Linked DNA regions of Sus scrofa. The protein of the gene in region 2 purifies or fractionates together with the protein of the main gene of each other region. This does not show direct contact. Links are inferred from orthologs where the notes say so. Each region holds a gene or a part of one and is shown on either strand. Other genes may lie near its edges.

Region 1 (4,451 bases), on a different chromosome or scaffold from region 2:
CCCTCCTCTCTGGTGCCTGTGTCCAATCCACACTCAATTCTTGTAGTTCAGCCAAATGACTATTATTTACATTAGAACATAAGTTCATGTGGGTTATACCAAAAATATAATTTAAGAATTATCAAATCATGTAAATAATGCTAATTGGCAGTAAGCATTATCAGCTACACACACACACACACACACACACACACACACACACTTTAATATATTATTTAATATAATTAATTTATTTTAGGGCTGCACCTGCAGTATATGGAAATTCCCAGGCCAGGGGCTGAACTGGAGCTGTAGCCACTGGTCTATGCCAGTGGCAGCAACCTACACTGCAGCTCACAGCAATGCCGGATCCTTAACCCATGGAGAGGGGCCAGGGAACGAACCCGCGTCCTCATGGATACTGTCCGGTTCATTACTACTGAGCCACAACAGAACTCCCTAATACATTATTTATATGTTTTTCAATAACAGCATCTATATATAAAAATATTAGAGCCTATATATAATACTGTGAATTATAACATCTATCCTATATGCCTAGGATTAAACTTTCTTCTATTTTAAATTATTCATACTAGGTTTTAAAACCTCCTTTATATGAAAAATTTGAATATGCAGAATCTGTATCTTTTTTTCTTTTTTTTTGGCCACACCTGCAGCATATGGAAACTCCCGTGCCAGGAGTTGAATCTGAGCTGCAGCTGCTGGCCTATGCCACAGCCCTGGCAACACCAGATCCAAGCCACAAATGCAACCTATGCTGCAGCTTGCAGCAATGCCAGATTCTTAACCTACTGAGAGAAACCAGGGATCTAACTGGCATCCTCCTGGAGACATCAGGTCCTTAACCAATGGAGCCACAACAGGAACTCCCAGAATCTATATCTTTATCTATACATCATTACACTTAATCACATAGTGTTCTTTTTTTTTTTGGTCTTTTGCTATTTCTTGGGCTGCTCCCGCGGCATATGGAGGTTCCCAGGCTAGGGGTCCAATCGGAGCTGTAGCCACCGGCCTACGCCAGAGCCACAGCAACGCGGGATCCGAGCCGCGTCTGCAACCTACACCACAGCTCATGGCAACGCCGGATCGTTAACCCACTGAACAAGGGCAGGGACCGAACCCGAAACCTCATGGTTCCTAGTCGGATTCGTTAACCATAACCACTGTGCCACAACGTGAACTCCAATAACATAGTGTTCTAATAGTCAATACTACTTTAGAAATACCACTTAGAAGGTACTTGTCCCAAATCATTAGCTCTTTATACTAAATTCAGTAGCAAATTTACCTTGTAGCTGCTTTTCAACTCTTTTTAGTTCCTGTAAGATTGAAGAGATCTCCTGTAGAGAAAATAGTAACAAAAATTAGCTTACTTTAATCAAAACATTTTTGTTTGATAAGCAATGAACCTCACACTCCTCTTATCTGGAATCCTTCATATTATCTACATGGCTTTACATCTGTAGCAACAGGATATGAAATAATCATGATCTCCAATAAATGAGATTCAAATTTTAAAATCTTTAATGTTGAAACAGTCTTTTTAAAAATGAGATGATGACAGATGATGAAAAGTTCAAAATAATATTCTATAAGCAAATATTTTGAAAACTTGTACTGACCAACCTTGCAACACCTTTGTAAAAGTGCTTGCGGGTTTTCCTTGGAAAATTCATAGACTGTTGGGATAACTCCCTGAACAAGAAAAACCTGCACAAACCCTTGGGGAGGAAACAAGCAATCTAGATGAAGGAAATGGAAATGACTCATGTCAACTTGTATTTGAGTTTGGCTCTTATTTCAAAATGGCTTATTTATAATCTATAATTATCACAAGAACAAGAGTATGTAATTCTGAGACCCCACACCCTCAAGAACTTTGAAACAAGCAACATGTTAAACCTCTGTGAGAGACAGTGAAGGCATAAAATTTCCCAAATTTGTACACTTATATCTTCTTTTATACATCAACAGGTAAAAAATAAGCATGCCATTCCCTGAAAGCAAAACCCTCCTTTCAAAATGTTTTAAGAGTCAAGAAAAACGACCATACCATACTTGAGGTTTTCACAATAGGGACTTCACTTTCGGCTCTTAACTTGCTTTCTATTTCATCCCAATTCCGATCTTTGTCTTTAAATAATATTCTATAAAGCAAAAACACAGGCATTTTACTTTTCGCATTTAAAAAAAATCTATCACATTTTAATGATAACACAAAGCTACAGAAGAATAAAGAAACCACTAAATATTACATGAATTGTAAATTCAATACTGAACCAACATTACCAATAAACGCACTTATCTTAAGAGAATTTGTACTAAAAAAGTAACTGGCTATGAATACACACATAAACCCTTTAAGTGCTTATCTAATCCTTTATTGAAAACCATCTGATAAGAGTTTAATATCCAAAACAGATAAAGAACTCATACAATTCAATAGCAAAAAACCCAATAAAACCCAATTAAAAAATGGGCAAAGGACATGCAGAGATATTTCTCCAAAGAAGATATACAAAGGGCCATTAGGTACACAAAAAGATGCTGAACACCACTAGCCATGAAGGAAATGCAAATTAAAACCACAAGGAGATGGCACCTCTTGCCTGTTAGAATGATCATTATCCAAAAGGCAAGAGATAACAAAGGCTGATGGGGAGAAAAGGGAACCCTTGTGCTTTGCTGGTGGGACTGTAAATTGGTACAACCACTATGGTTTTTTGCGGAAGCGCCTCAAAAAATTAAAAGTAATACTACTATATGATCCACCAATTTCACTTCTGGGAATATATCCAAAAAAAAAAAAAAAGGAAACACTTGAAAAGATCTCTGTACCCACTGTGATCACAGCAGCATTATTTATAACAGCAAGGATATGGAAACAACCGAGGTGTCCACCAACGGATGAATGGATAAAGAAGATGTGTGTGTGTGGGGGGGTGTGTGTATAAACATTATTCAGCCACAGAAAAGAGGAAATGCATTTTCAACAACATGGATGGGCCTTGAAGGCATTATGCTAAGTGCAATGAGAGAGAAAGAGACAGATACATTATGGTCTCACTTATAGTGAAACCCAAACCAAAAACAATAACAAACAAAATCCCCAGACTCATAGAAAAAGAGAACAGACTTGTGGTTACAAGGCAGAAGGTCCAGGGAGGAGGAATTAGCAGGAGGTGGCCATGAGGACAAACCTCTAGGCACTTGTTGTCAAGAGCGCAAAACCCAAGCGTGAGCACAGACCAGAAACTATTTTTCTTTTTTCTTTCATTTTTGTATTGTGTCTATATGAGAAGAGAGAAGTCAGCTGAACTTACAGTGGCCATCACTTCACAATATATATGTAAATCAAACCATCATGTTGTTCGCCTGAAGCTTATACAGTGATGTAGGCCAATCAGTTCTGAGTAAAACTGCAGATTAAAAAATATCAGTGAAGCATATCAAGTCCCTCTAAATCTGGCTGGAATATGAGGCATGATGCCTTGAGAGTTAAAAAGCAACTGAATGTTTGGCTTTTCTTAAGGAGCGCGTTTATTTTATTATTTGATTTTATTTTAATTCATTAATTAATTTTAGTGCCACACCTGCAGCATAGGGAAGTTCCCAGGCTAGGGGTGGCACTGGAGCTGTAGCTGCTGGCCTATGCCACAACCACAGCCACGCCAGATCCGAGATGCATCTGCGACCTATGCAGGAGCCAACACCGGATGCTTAGCCCACTGATCCATGCCAGGGATTGAATGGGCAGCCTCATGCATGCTAGTCAGGTTCTTAACCAGCTGAGCCACAATGGGAACTCTGCACTGTTTTCATTTGAATCACACCCAATGGTCAGGGCATTAGCGCTCTAAGGTCTCCTTAGGTGGGGTAGGGTGTTTGTGTTCCTTTAATGGCTACGTCATCCCCAAGTCTGCTGATCCCATCTTCTGTCACAAGTAAGGGAGCTCTCCTCATGTGAGGCTCTGTCCTCCTCTGATCTCCTAATCAAGTGTGTGCCCAGAGACAAATGAAGCCCTCCCTTCCCTGGGGTAAAGCCCAACTGTAATTTGCAGGAAAAAAAAAAAGCCTAATCAGTTAGTCATTTACATAGAATTAACAAACCGTAGGGCCTCCTCTCTTGTCTAAGTGATTAATACGAGGAGTCATGCCTTGAGCTTGGTTCAAGTACTCAGTGTAGTTCAAGAGGAAACATAATTGCTATCGCTTTGAATTTAATGCCACAGAAGGTAGAGTCTAAAGCTAAGACATGATGGAGGGTTGTTATTATTATTATTATTATTTGGTCTTTTTGCCATTTCTTGGGCCGCCCCTGCGACATACGGAGTTTCCCAGGCTAGGGGTCCATTCGGAGCTGTAGCCACCGGCCTACACCACAGCCACAGCAATGCAGGATCCAAGCCGCATCTGCAACCTACACAACAACTCACGGCAACACC
Region 2 (4,451 bases):
TGATTTCTGCAAGCAGAGCAGAGAGGCTTGCGCTGGCCCTCTGAGCCAGAAGGCTGTGTGGCGACAAGTGGGGAGGTGTCCCAAGCAGGGAGGCACACCCACCTGAATGGCCAAACATCTTGGCAACGCACTCGCCTGAGTAAAAGTCAATCACGGAGATGCTTTTGTCAGAGCAGCTTGTGGCCAGGAAGGTGCCTGAAGGGTCCACATGGACCTGCCAAGAAGAGGATCCACGTGACCCCTGGGCGGTCTCCTCCTTCCCAGGGGCCTGGGAAGCAACCTCAGGGCCCCACTCAGTGGCCCCCTCTGCTGGGCACCTGGTACATGGACTTGTCCCAGGTAACCTTCACCACATACACCTCCCCCTCCACAGGCGAAACGACCAGCCATGGCAATGGTACTAACGGCAACCAGGCTCCGTGCTGAGCACTGTACGTGTGTGAACCTATTTCCTCCACAGAACTCTCTGATAGAGGCTTCTTTGCATTTTACAGATGATGAAACAGGTTGAGAATAGATGACATTTGCCCAAGGTCACAGGCAGCCTGAGGCAGAGCTGTTAAGAGGGTCTGACCCTGAAGCCTAAACTCCTTGTCCAGAGGCCCCTAAGAAGGCTCCCACCTCGTCCTGGATGACACAGGCAGGGAGCAAGGCTGGAGAGGGACCCCAGGTCTCTCGGATTCTTCCCACACCCCGCTCTACTGACACTCAAGATGGAAACCACTTAAATGGCTCCGCTTGGGGCAGGGTTCAGTAAATAAAGGTAGAGCAATCAGGGCTGGCTCCCCGCATCCTTGGTCAGCCAGGCCTTAGTGGATACTGGCCAGGGTGTGATCTACGGATCAGGTGCCAAGGAGGACGCAAGTCTCAGGCGGCCTAGCAGGGGAGAAGACAGAGAGGGGGGCCTTGTGTGTGGCTGTGTGTGCGGCTTTCACCCGGGAGCCCCAGTTTCTTACCTTCAACAGGGACCCTTCATCTCCCTGGGAGCCCTTGTAGCACTTCTTCTGCTTCCCGTTCACGGTGTTGTAGACTCTAGGAAGGTGGGGGGCATAAGTGACTAACCTGGCCCTGCCCACTCACCCTCTCCTGTCCTCTGGATCCAGCCTTACCTGCTCCCTCCTTTCCCCTGGAAGTCCCCATTCCTCCTATCCCCCATCTAATGTCTGGGCTGAAACCCCATGCCGGGGAATGTGACCTCATCCCAGGCTGGGTCACAGAGGCTATGTACTGGGTGTCCCTTGAGTTCATGTCTGCCTCCCCGTCCATAGCAAGCTGAGGGCCTGGCATCCAGTTCGAATGAGCAAATGAAGGTGGTGGAGAAGCTCTCTGCACATGCTCATTCCTCCCCATCCTCCCGGGCTAAGCTCAGCCGTCCCTTCCAACAGGCCCTTTCCACAAGCTCCTGTTGTCCCAGCTCTGGTCACTCTGTGCTGTCACAGTCTGGGGAGGTTCTCTCTCTTCCACTCCACATGACTTTCCCACTGTCCCTTCTAGACAGCTGCTCAGGAAACAAGGGTGAGTGAATAAGTCTACGAGCCACATCAGCACCTCTCAGTCACCCCACACAGGCTCCTGAGAGCCAGGGGAACCCTCGGCTGACCTGGGTGAGCCCAGCTCCTAAGAAACACCCACACGGTCCCTCCACCCCACCCTGCTTCAGGGACCAGATAAGCAGGAGGAAAGCAAGCAGCCCATGAGAAGACAGGCCCAACTAGGCCCCTACAGGCCCCGCTCAGAAACCAGCCCAGGCCAAGCCAACTCAGAAGCCAGGACTGCCCTCACCTGACGTTGCGGTCCTGGCAGGCCACGGCCACATACTTCTGGGTAATGTCAATGTCCATGTCATACAGGGTGGTCTTCTCTGCCACGTGGTGGGTACGGACGAAGTGCAGTCCATCCGAGGCCTGGCAGGGCAGGCAGGGCCTTCAGAGGACGCCCCTGACAAGCCCCCTACCCCAAGGAGGCCACCCCACGCTACCTGCTGGGCACTGCGGAAGTAGATGCTCTTGTCGGCACCACAGCTGATCATCTGGATGTCTCTGCTGCCTGGAGGAAGGAGCAGTGTACTAGGCAGGGCTGGGCCACCGCTGGGCTGCAGATCCTAGCTAGGGAAACTACCGCAAGGGAACTCTGCTGGGGGTCAGAGGGGGCTTCGTGGAAGAGGTGAGGTGAGTGCTGGGGTTCGTGGAAGAGGTGCGGTGAGTGGTAGAGCCGTGTGTGTGTGTGGGGACACAGGGAGCAGTGGGCTGCAGGCCTCTGCAGAGCAACAGCAGGTAGGGAAGCAGAGGCCAGGACGCAGCAGGGGCACCATGTTTCATGTGGGATTTGGAGAGGTGACTTGGGTTGCAGCATGGAGGTGGGACTGAACAGAAGAGAGGAGACAGGCAGACCTCTGGGAGGCTCACACTATCAAGAACAATCAGAATATCCACACATTCCTCGGTCCAGGGCCTGCACTGCCTGCGCCTCCCCTTCCTGTCACCAGCCACTGCGTTGCACAAATGGGAACCCAGGGGCTCAGCGTCACACAGTCCTTGTCCCAGGGTGCAGCGTCAGGACCGGGCCAGGGCTGAACCCAGGCAAGCTCTGGTTAAACACTGCTCTGTAGCCAGGCTTCCTCTCTGAGCCTCAGCTTCCAGCCTGTTTAACGAGCCTCCTTCACCGTGGAGCGGCGTGAAGCTCTAGGGACAATGGTTGCCACCTGGTAAGCACTACTGGCGTGGCGTTGCTTTTATCCTTCTTTCTTTATAAAATAACAATAATCACAGCACAAATACCTCAGAGAGTTGTAGTGAGAATGAAAAGACAGAACACACTGCTCCTTCATGACAGGACTTTTGAAGAGCGTCCGGGCCTGACATGCAAGTTAAGGTGTTGCTCAGGCAGGAGTTAGCAGATCACGGAAGGGGGTGTGTGTTGGGGGCTGGAGGGAGGGGGACTGGGACCCAGGAGGGACCCAGAGAGGGCCTGCAAGTCACTGGTAATGTTTTGCTTCTTTACCCAGGGTGGTGAGTCCAAGTATTTAGCAATACTGGGACCAGGACCAATCAGAACAGTTGCTGGCTGTAAACAATGCGTGTCTGGCATGGTTCAAACCTACCAGCTATGACCCTTGATGTGGACACTCACTGAAGGAGTCTGTGAACTAGTAACAGGTTTTCTGTGTATTTTTGGATGTGTATTTCACTGACTCATTTTTTTAGCTAGGTAGCTCCAGACAGTTTCTGACTGGCTGGAGCCCAGTTTCTATGAACTATCAACGTTTTGAGGACAAGGCCCAGGCGAGCCAGCCCAGTCGGAGCAGGGTTCACAGGAGTTTGCTTTAGGATGCGCCTCCTCAGCCTGGCTGGGACTTTACCAGAGGCCCACACCTTCTGAAGGTGGCCTCAAGGACTGACTCTTGGGCCACCCTCTTGGGCAGTCATCACCTCTCTAGGATCTAGACCATTCTTTAAAGGTGAGGTCACTGCTGGCCAAACTTCCAGGTTTACTGAACAATTCTAACTACCCTGTGGAAAGAATGGTCTTTTAAGGATGTCTGAGAAGTCTGAGCAGATGAGCTTTTGTTAGATCCTCACTAAGACATTGCAAATATTGTTGACCCGTTTTGGCCCAGCTCCTGACCACCTTAGTTAGACAGAGGCAGGGCAGGAAGCGAGAAAACCAAGGCACATTAGTACATTCTTAGCCGCAAGATTATGTGAAGGAAACTCTTCATGGTTGAGAACTTGGAGTACACAGATGTATTCTCTCCATGAATGGAATCTTTTTTTTTTTTTTTTTTTTTTTTTTTTGGTTTTTAAGGCCACACTTGCAGCACATGGAGGTTCCCAGGCTAGGGGTCTAATCGAAGCTACAGCTGCCAGCCTACACCACAGCCACAGCAACACCAGATCCGAGCAGCATCTTCGACCCACACCACAGCTCATGGCAACACTGGATCCTTAACCCACTGAGCGAGGCCAAGGGTCAAACCTGCAACCTCATGGTTCCTGGTCGGATTCGTTTCTGCTGCGCCTCGACGGGAACTCCGGATTCTTCTTGAATACAGTTTTGAATATGTTCCTAGGTTCTAATCAGTTAAACCCCCATGAGGCCTACATGCTCTTCTCTTGGAATTCCTCATGGCCAGGGATCTCCACACTCAATCTTTCCAGTCTTGGAGGGATCCCTTCAATTGCTGGGTTGAGCACAGGCTTTGAAGGACAGCCTTATGCCAAATACCAGGCCTGCACCTACTGGCTGTGTCCCTGGCTGTAAAGGGGATAAGGAGGTGGGTAACTGCTGGGATGGGCAAGGACCATCACCCAGCACAGAATTTGCCTCCAGCCATGGCTGCTGTCACCCATTTTTCTGCCAAAGTCACCAGCACCCATCCCACCCTGGATTGGCACCCTGACTGCCTTCTGGGGACCAGTTCTCATCTAATGCCAGTCCTCCTGGATGCAGAT
Region 3 (4,451 bases), on a different chromosome or scaffold from region 2:
TTTTGTGGCAAACCATTTCTCCCATAATGCACCCCACAGACCATAAATCCACTATATGTTTGCAGCACAAAAGAAGGAAAAGCAAAGCAAAAGGTCATTAAAATCAAAGAAGCATAATATGACTGCGTTATATTAAAAACTGCAAAACATCACAAAGAAAAAAGTGATTTTAATTTTAGCTAATGGAATAACTAAAAACAAAGTATTTTTTCAAAAGGCTTTTTGATTCACAAAAGCAAATGTGAAATGTGGCCTTTTTACTGTATCTAATTTTAAAGTGAGAGCTATGCACAGAAACTACATAACTGAAAAAAACCTATATATTTTGTTTCTGAAAATTTGTTTATAAAATACAAAAAAGAAATGAACACAAATCTTACAAATAAGGCTGAAAATGTACATGAGTAGCAAAATTTAAAAAAAAAATCTTGATTCTATTTTGTGGTTCAACTGTGCATTATACTCTCTCTTTAAGTCAAATAAAAGAAAAAAGCATGAGCAGAAATAATCTAGTATATTAAAATATTTAACAGAAATGCTTCTATGAATAATCACAGTTAAAAAATTAATCTAAAGCTCTTTAGAAATTTTCATATTGTATTTTATAAATTTGTTTTGAGAAGTGTTATGTTTATTCTGAGTTGAAAGTAATTTGCCTTCTTGGCAACATCATGCTGCATTTACTCTACTACCCTAACACGTGCATACAGAACAAACAATCAAATTAAGAAAATTTAATAAAAAGAAGTATATTTCACATGTTTTTCACTGAAAGTTTTTTAAACCCCTATAACCAAACTGGTTTAAGAAGTTAGTTTTGGTTGAATATGTATGAAAAGTCCCCAAAGATTTATTATCTACAGTCTCCTAGAGGACTTCCTGACTCTTGTCAACTTTAAATGAGAGCTTGAATCAATGCTGAGATGAATCTGCCAGGCACAGAAATGAGCAATTTGAGGTTCTCCACCTGTTCATTAAAACAATGTACCCGGACATTTTATATTTGAGTCTGAAAATCAGATAAAAAGAGCAGGTGCTTGTAGTTTAATATAAGAGGGGAAGAATGAGCAATGTGAAAGGAAAGTTTTAGAAACTTGCATTTGTTTAAGTTTGAAGGCCCCATTCTTTAATAGCAAAAGAGGAAAAGCACAAGAATAGATGTTAGAGATAGACTCTTTACCTATGCAAGAGAACTTTGGGAAAGTCTGTATTTTCTAAAATACTCAGTAAGGAGACTACCAATTCATTACACAATTTTAGAAGCTAAATTAAGAACAAATTTTAGAAATCCTATGGAACTAAAGTTTCTCTAAAATTTCACATTAAAATACAAACAAATCTTTTAATATCCATGGCATGATTCAACTTTCAAGAATAAATATTTAGAGGAAAATTAATATTCCCAAATCAGTAGTTCAGAAAGTATTTTTCCCAGGGTGTTTGGAAAAAAATCTATCACAATAATTTTTCCCTATGGCTTTTATAGAGAATAGCAAGCTTTAGTTAAATATCCAGGACACAATTTATGAAGGTAATCTTTAAAAAAGTGTATCTTAAAAAAAAAAAAAGATTTCAAAAGCTGCAATCATGAGAGAAGATACTGTCTGAGTCACTACTTTCCCCAGAAAAGGAAAAGCTTGATTCATACAAAAACTTGCTTTTACAGGGTCTAACTGCTTAGTCCATTGGGCAGTTTAAATATATTCCATTATCTCACACTTTTCAAAAAGCTTTGAGGTAGCTTGCAATAAAAGACATTAAAAGAACGAAGTTCTTAAGTTAAAACTTGCTGGCTAATGAAATTATCAGAATCAAGCATTATACTGACAGTTTCTTTGGGCAAAAAAAGGCAACAAGGTGATCTATATAATTCTTATCTAAGAAAAGAAAGCTCATCAATTCTTCATAAGATGGTTTTTCTTGGTGTTAATTTCTGGTAGGGAGCTCTCAAGATCACAGCCCAGAGTGACCCTTTATATATATTATCTGTGACAATCAATGGTTTCATAGCAAATGCAAAAGCAATCTTCATGCTGGTCACTTAAAGTATCAATTCTCAAAAAAAATTTTAAAATGTCTAATACTAAATCTAACTCACTAGATTCTATAGGGTATACAGTAATTTTAGGTAAGGAGAAAGATGACAGAACAGCATATTTAAAAACAAAAGAATAATAGCAAATGTTCAATTAGCTCAGAAAAGTAAACGAAGCTAAAATTCTTTTTACAAAATATCTTTTTATAACAGATAACTCAATGTTATCGTTTATAAAAATGAATCCCAAAGGTTAACTTGATGCAATTTCCTGTTTCAAAGTGAACTGCTGTTTTAGATTCTTTGCTAGAAAAAAATGTCCAAGTCTTATTCTATGAAATATCCTGAATTGAGTTGCCACATTTAAGTCAATAAACTCCTGTGCAGATTTATTCATCTCCTAAATGACTAAGATTTAACAAAATTTCTTAAGTATAAATATATATATGTATAATTTTTTTTAATTCATGAACTGCATGCCTGATAATTTTCTTCAACTTTGATTAGTGCTGATATATATAATTGACCTTACCTGCACAGAATAATACCATTTCTCTAAAGCTGGTCACAAGGGTCCAAAAGGTCACCTTAAATTATCCATCAGCATACAGAATGTCCTTATTATAGCTCTTAAAGTTTGTAGTAAGTGTTACTGCTATTAACTTCAATGTCACAAGATTGGAAATGTGTGCAAATATCACCAATGCAAATTTATCTATTGGTTCACTATATGGCTCCTTGAGCCCACGTCAGAATGCTCATTTTCAAGGTATAAGCAAGCAAATGGTATATGCTCTGTTACAGGGGCCATGGCAACAAATGCTTTATCCAATGGTAGTGTTGTTGGTTATTTGTATTTAAATAAACAGGGGCCCCAAGTTTTTCTAAAAATTTAAAAAAGAATTGTAGTTACTGTCAAACTCTTGATAAACATTTCAAACACCAATATACCTTTAACTCTATGCATTTCAATGTAAGTATTTACACAAGAAATCTTACAAACGAAAGCAAATAACACAGAACCGTATTTCAGATAAATAGTATGCTGACCGTTTTCTTTGTAGCCCATCCCTAGGATGACCTCAGGTGCTCTGTAGTAGCGAGTCACTACGTAAGGTGTCATCATAAAACTAGTTCCTGCAGTCCTGGCCAGTCCAAAGTCAAGAATCTTCAAAGTGCAGTCTGATTTTACCACTATATTACTGGGCTTTAAGTCCTTCAAAAATAAAAATAAAAAATGACTGCTATGATATAAACAAATATTCTGCAGTCCACAAGATAGTAGATCACTTGTAAAACAATTCAGGCTAATTGCTCATTTTTTCACTGTAATTGTTACCACTGCACAGATTCATCACTATAGGCAAATTTGAGACATCAGCTTGAGAACATTTCTAATTTATGAATAGTTATTAGAGAAGTTAATAATGTTTTATTTGCTAGATATTAAGATTAGCTAGAAATTTTCCATCAGTGGAGTAAAAGTGATTCAGAAAGGCATCTTAAAGATCACATAAGAACTATTATAGGAGTTCCTGTCATGGCGCAGCAGAAACGAATACGGCTAGGAACCATGAGGCTGTGGGTTCAATCCCTGGCCTCACTCAGTGGGTTAAGGATCCAGCGTTGCCATGAGCTGTGGTATAGGTTGCAGACATGGCACTGCTGTGGCTGTGGCTGGCAGCTGTAGCTCCAATTAGACCCCTAGCCTGGGAACCTCCATGTGCCATGGGTGTGGCCCTAAAAAGACAATTAAAAAAAAAAAAGAAAAAAGAGATTATAGTAAAAGAGAGAATCATAAGTTAACATGTATATTCACTTGTACACTAAATTACCTACTTTTAAAAGATCTTATTTTTTTTTTTTTTGGCCATGCCCATGGCATGTGGAACCTGAGCCACAACTGTGACCCAAGCCACTGCAGTGACAAGGCCAGATCCTTAACCTGCTACACCACAGCAGAACTCCCAAAGATCTCATTTTAAAGTCACAATAAGTTGTATACATCAATAATGGGCCATTCTAAGCACATGTCATTTGACCTTTCAAATCAGCAGATGTCCTAAGCAAAACATTCTCTAACAAACTATATAAATGTTTTCTTAGGTCAGTCTCCCAAGGCAATAAAAATAAAAACAAAAATAAATGAGACCTAATCAAACTTATGAGCTTTTGTACAGCAAAGGAAACCATTAGGACAAAAAAAAAAAAAAAAAAAAAAAAAAAGACAAACAATGGAATGGGAGAAAAGACTTGCTAATGATGCTACCGACAAGGGCTTAAACTCCAAAATATCCAAACAACTCAGCAACAAAAAAACAAATAACACAACTGAAAAAATGGCCAGAAGACCTAAAGGAGACATTTCTCCTAAGAAGGTATATGGATGGCCAGAGGCACATGAAAAAATGCTCAA

Evidence for each region. The genes of interacting proteins can lie anywhere in the genome.
Region 1: the proteins of WDR62 (region 2) and CEP170 purify together in Homo sapiens (affinity purification with mass spectrometry; 3 studies listed by BioGRID and IntAct, with this or other methods). This does not show direct contact. The link is inferred for Sus scrofa from reciprocal best matches to the Homo sapiens genes WDR62 and CEP170.
Region 3: the proteins of WDR62 (region 2) and MAPK8 purify together in Homo sapiens (affinity purification with mass spectrometry; 5 studies listed by BioGRID and IntAct, counting the BioPlex papers as one, with this or other methods). This does not show direct contact. The link is inferred for Sus scrofa from reciprocal best matches to the Homo sapiens genes WDR62 and MAPK8.

Annotation. Positions count from the first base shown.
Region 1 is NC_010452.4:16,072,099-16,076,549, forward strand, and holds part of CEP170 (centrosomal protein of 170 kDa), read right to left. Parts: intron 2,154-4,451; coding exon 2,060-2,153; intron 1,347-2,059; coding exon 1,295-1,346; intron 1-1,294.
Region 2 is NC_010448.4:45,456,646-45,461,096, reverse strand, and holds part of WDR62 (WD repeat-containing protein 62), read right to left. Parts: intron 2,047-4,451; coding exon 1,979-2,046; intron 1,905-1,978; coding exon 1,783-1,904; intron 1,033-1,782; coding exon 957-1,032; intron 215-956; coding exon 1-214. UniProt on the Homo sapiens protein: Required for cerebral cortical development. Plays a role in neuronal proliferation and migration.
Region 3 is NC_010456.5:89,089,512-89,093,962, reverse strand, and holds part of MAPK8 (mitogen-activated protein kinase 8), read right to left. Parts: intron 3,252-4,451; coding exon 3,086-3,251; intron 52-3,085; coding exon 1-51. UniProt on the Homo sapiens protein: Serine/threonine-protein kinase involved in various processes such as cell proliferation, differentiation, migration, transformation and programmed cell death.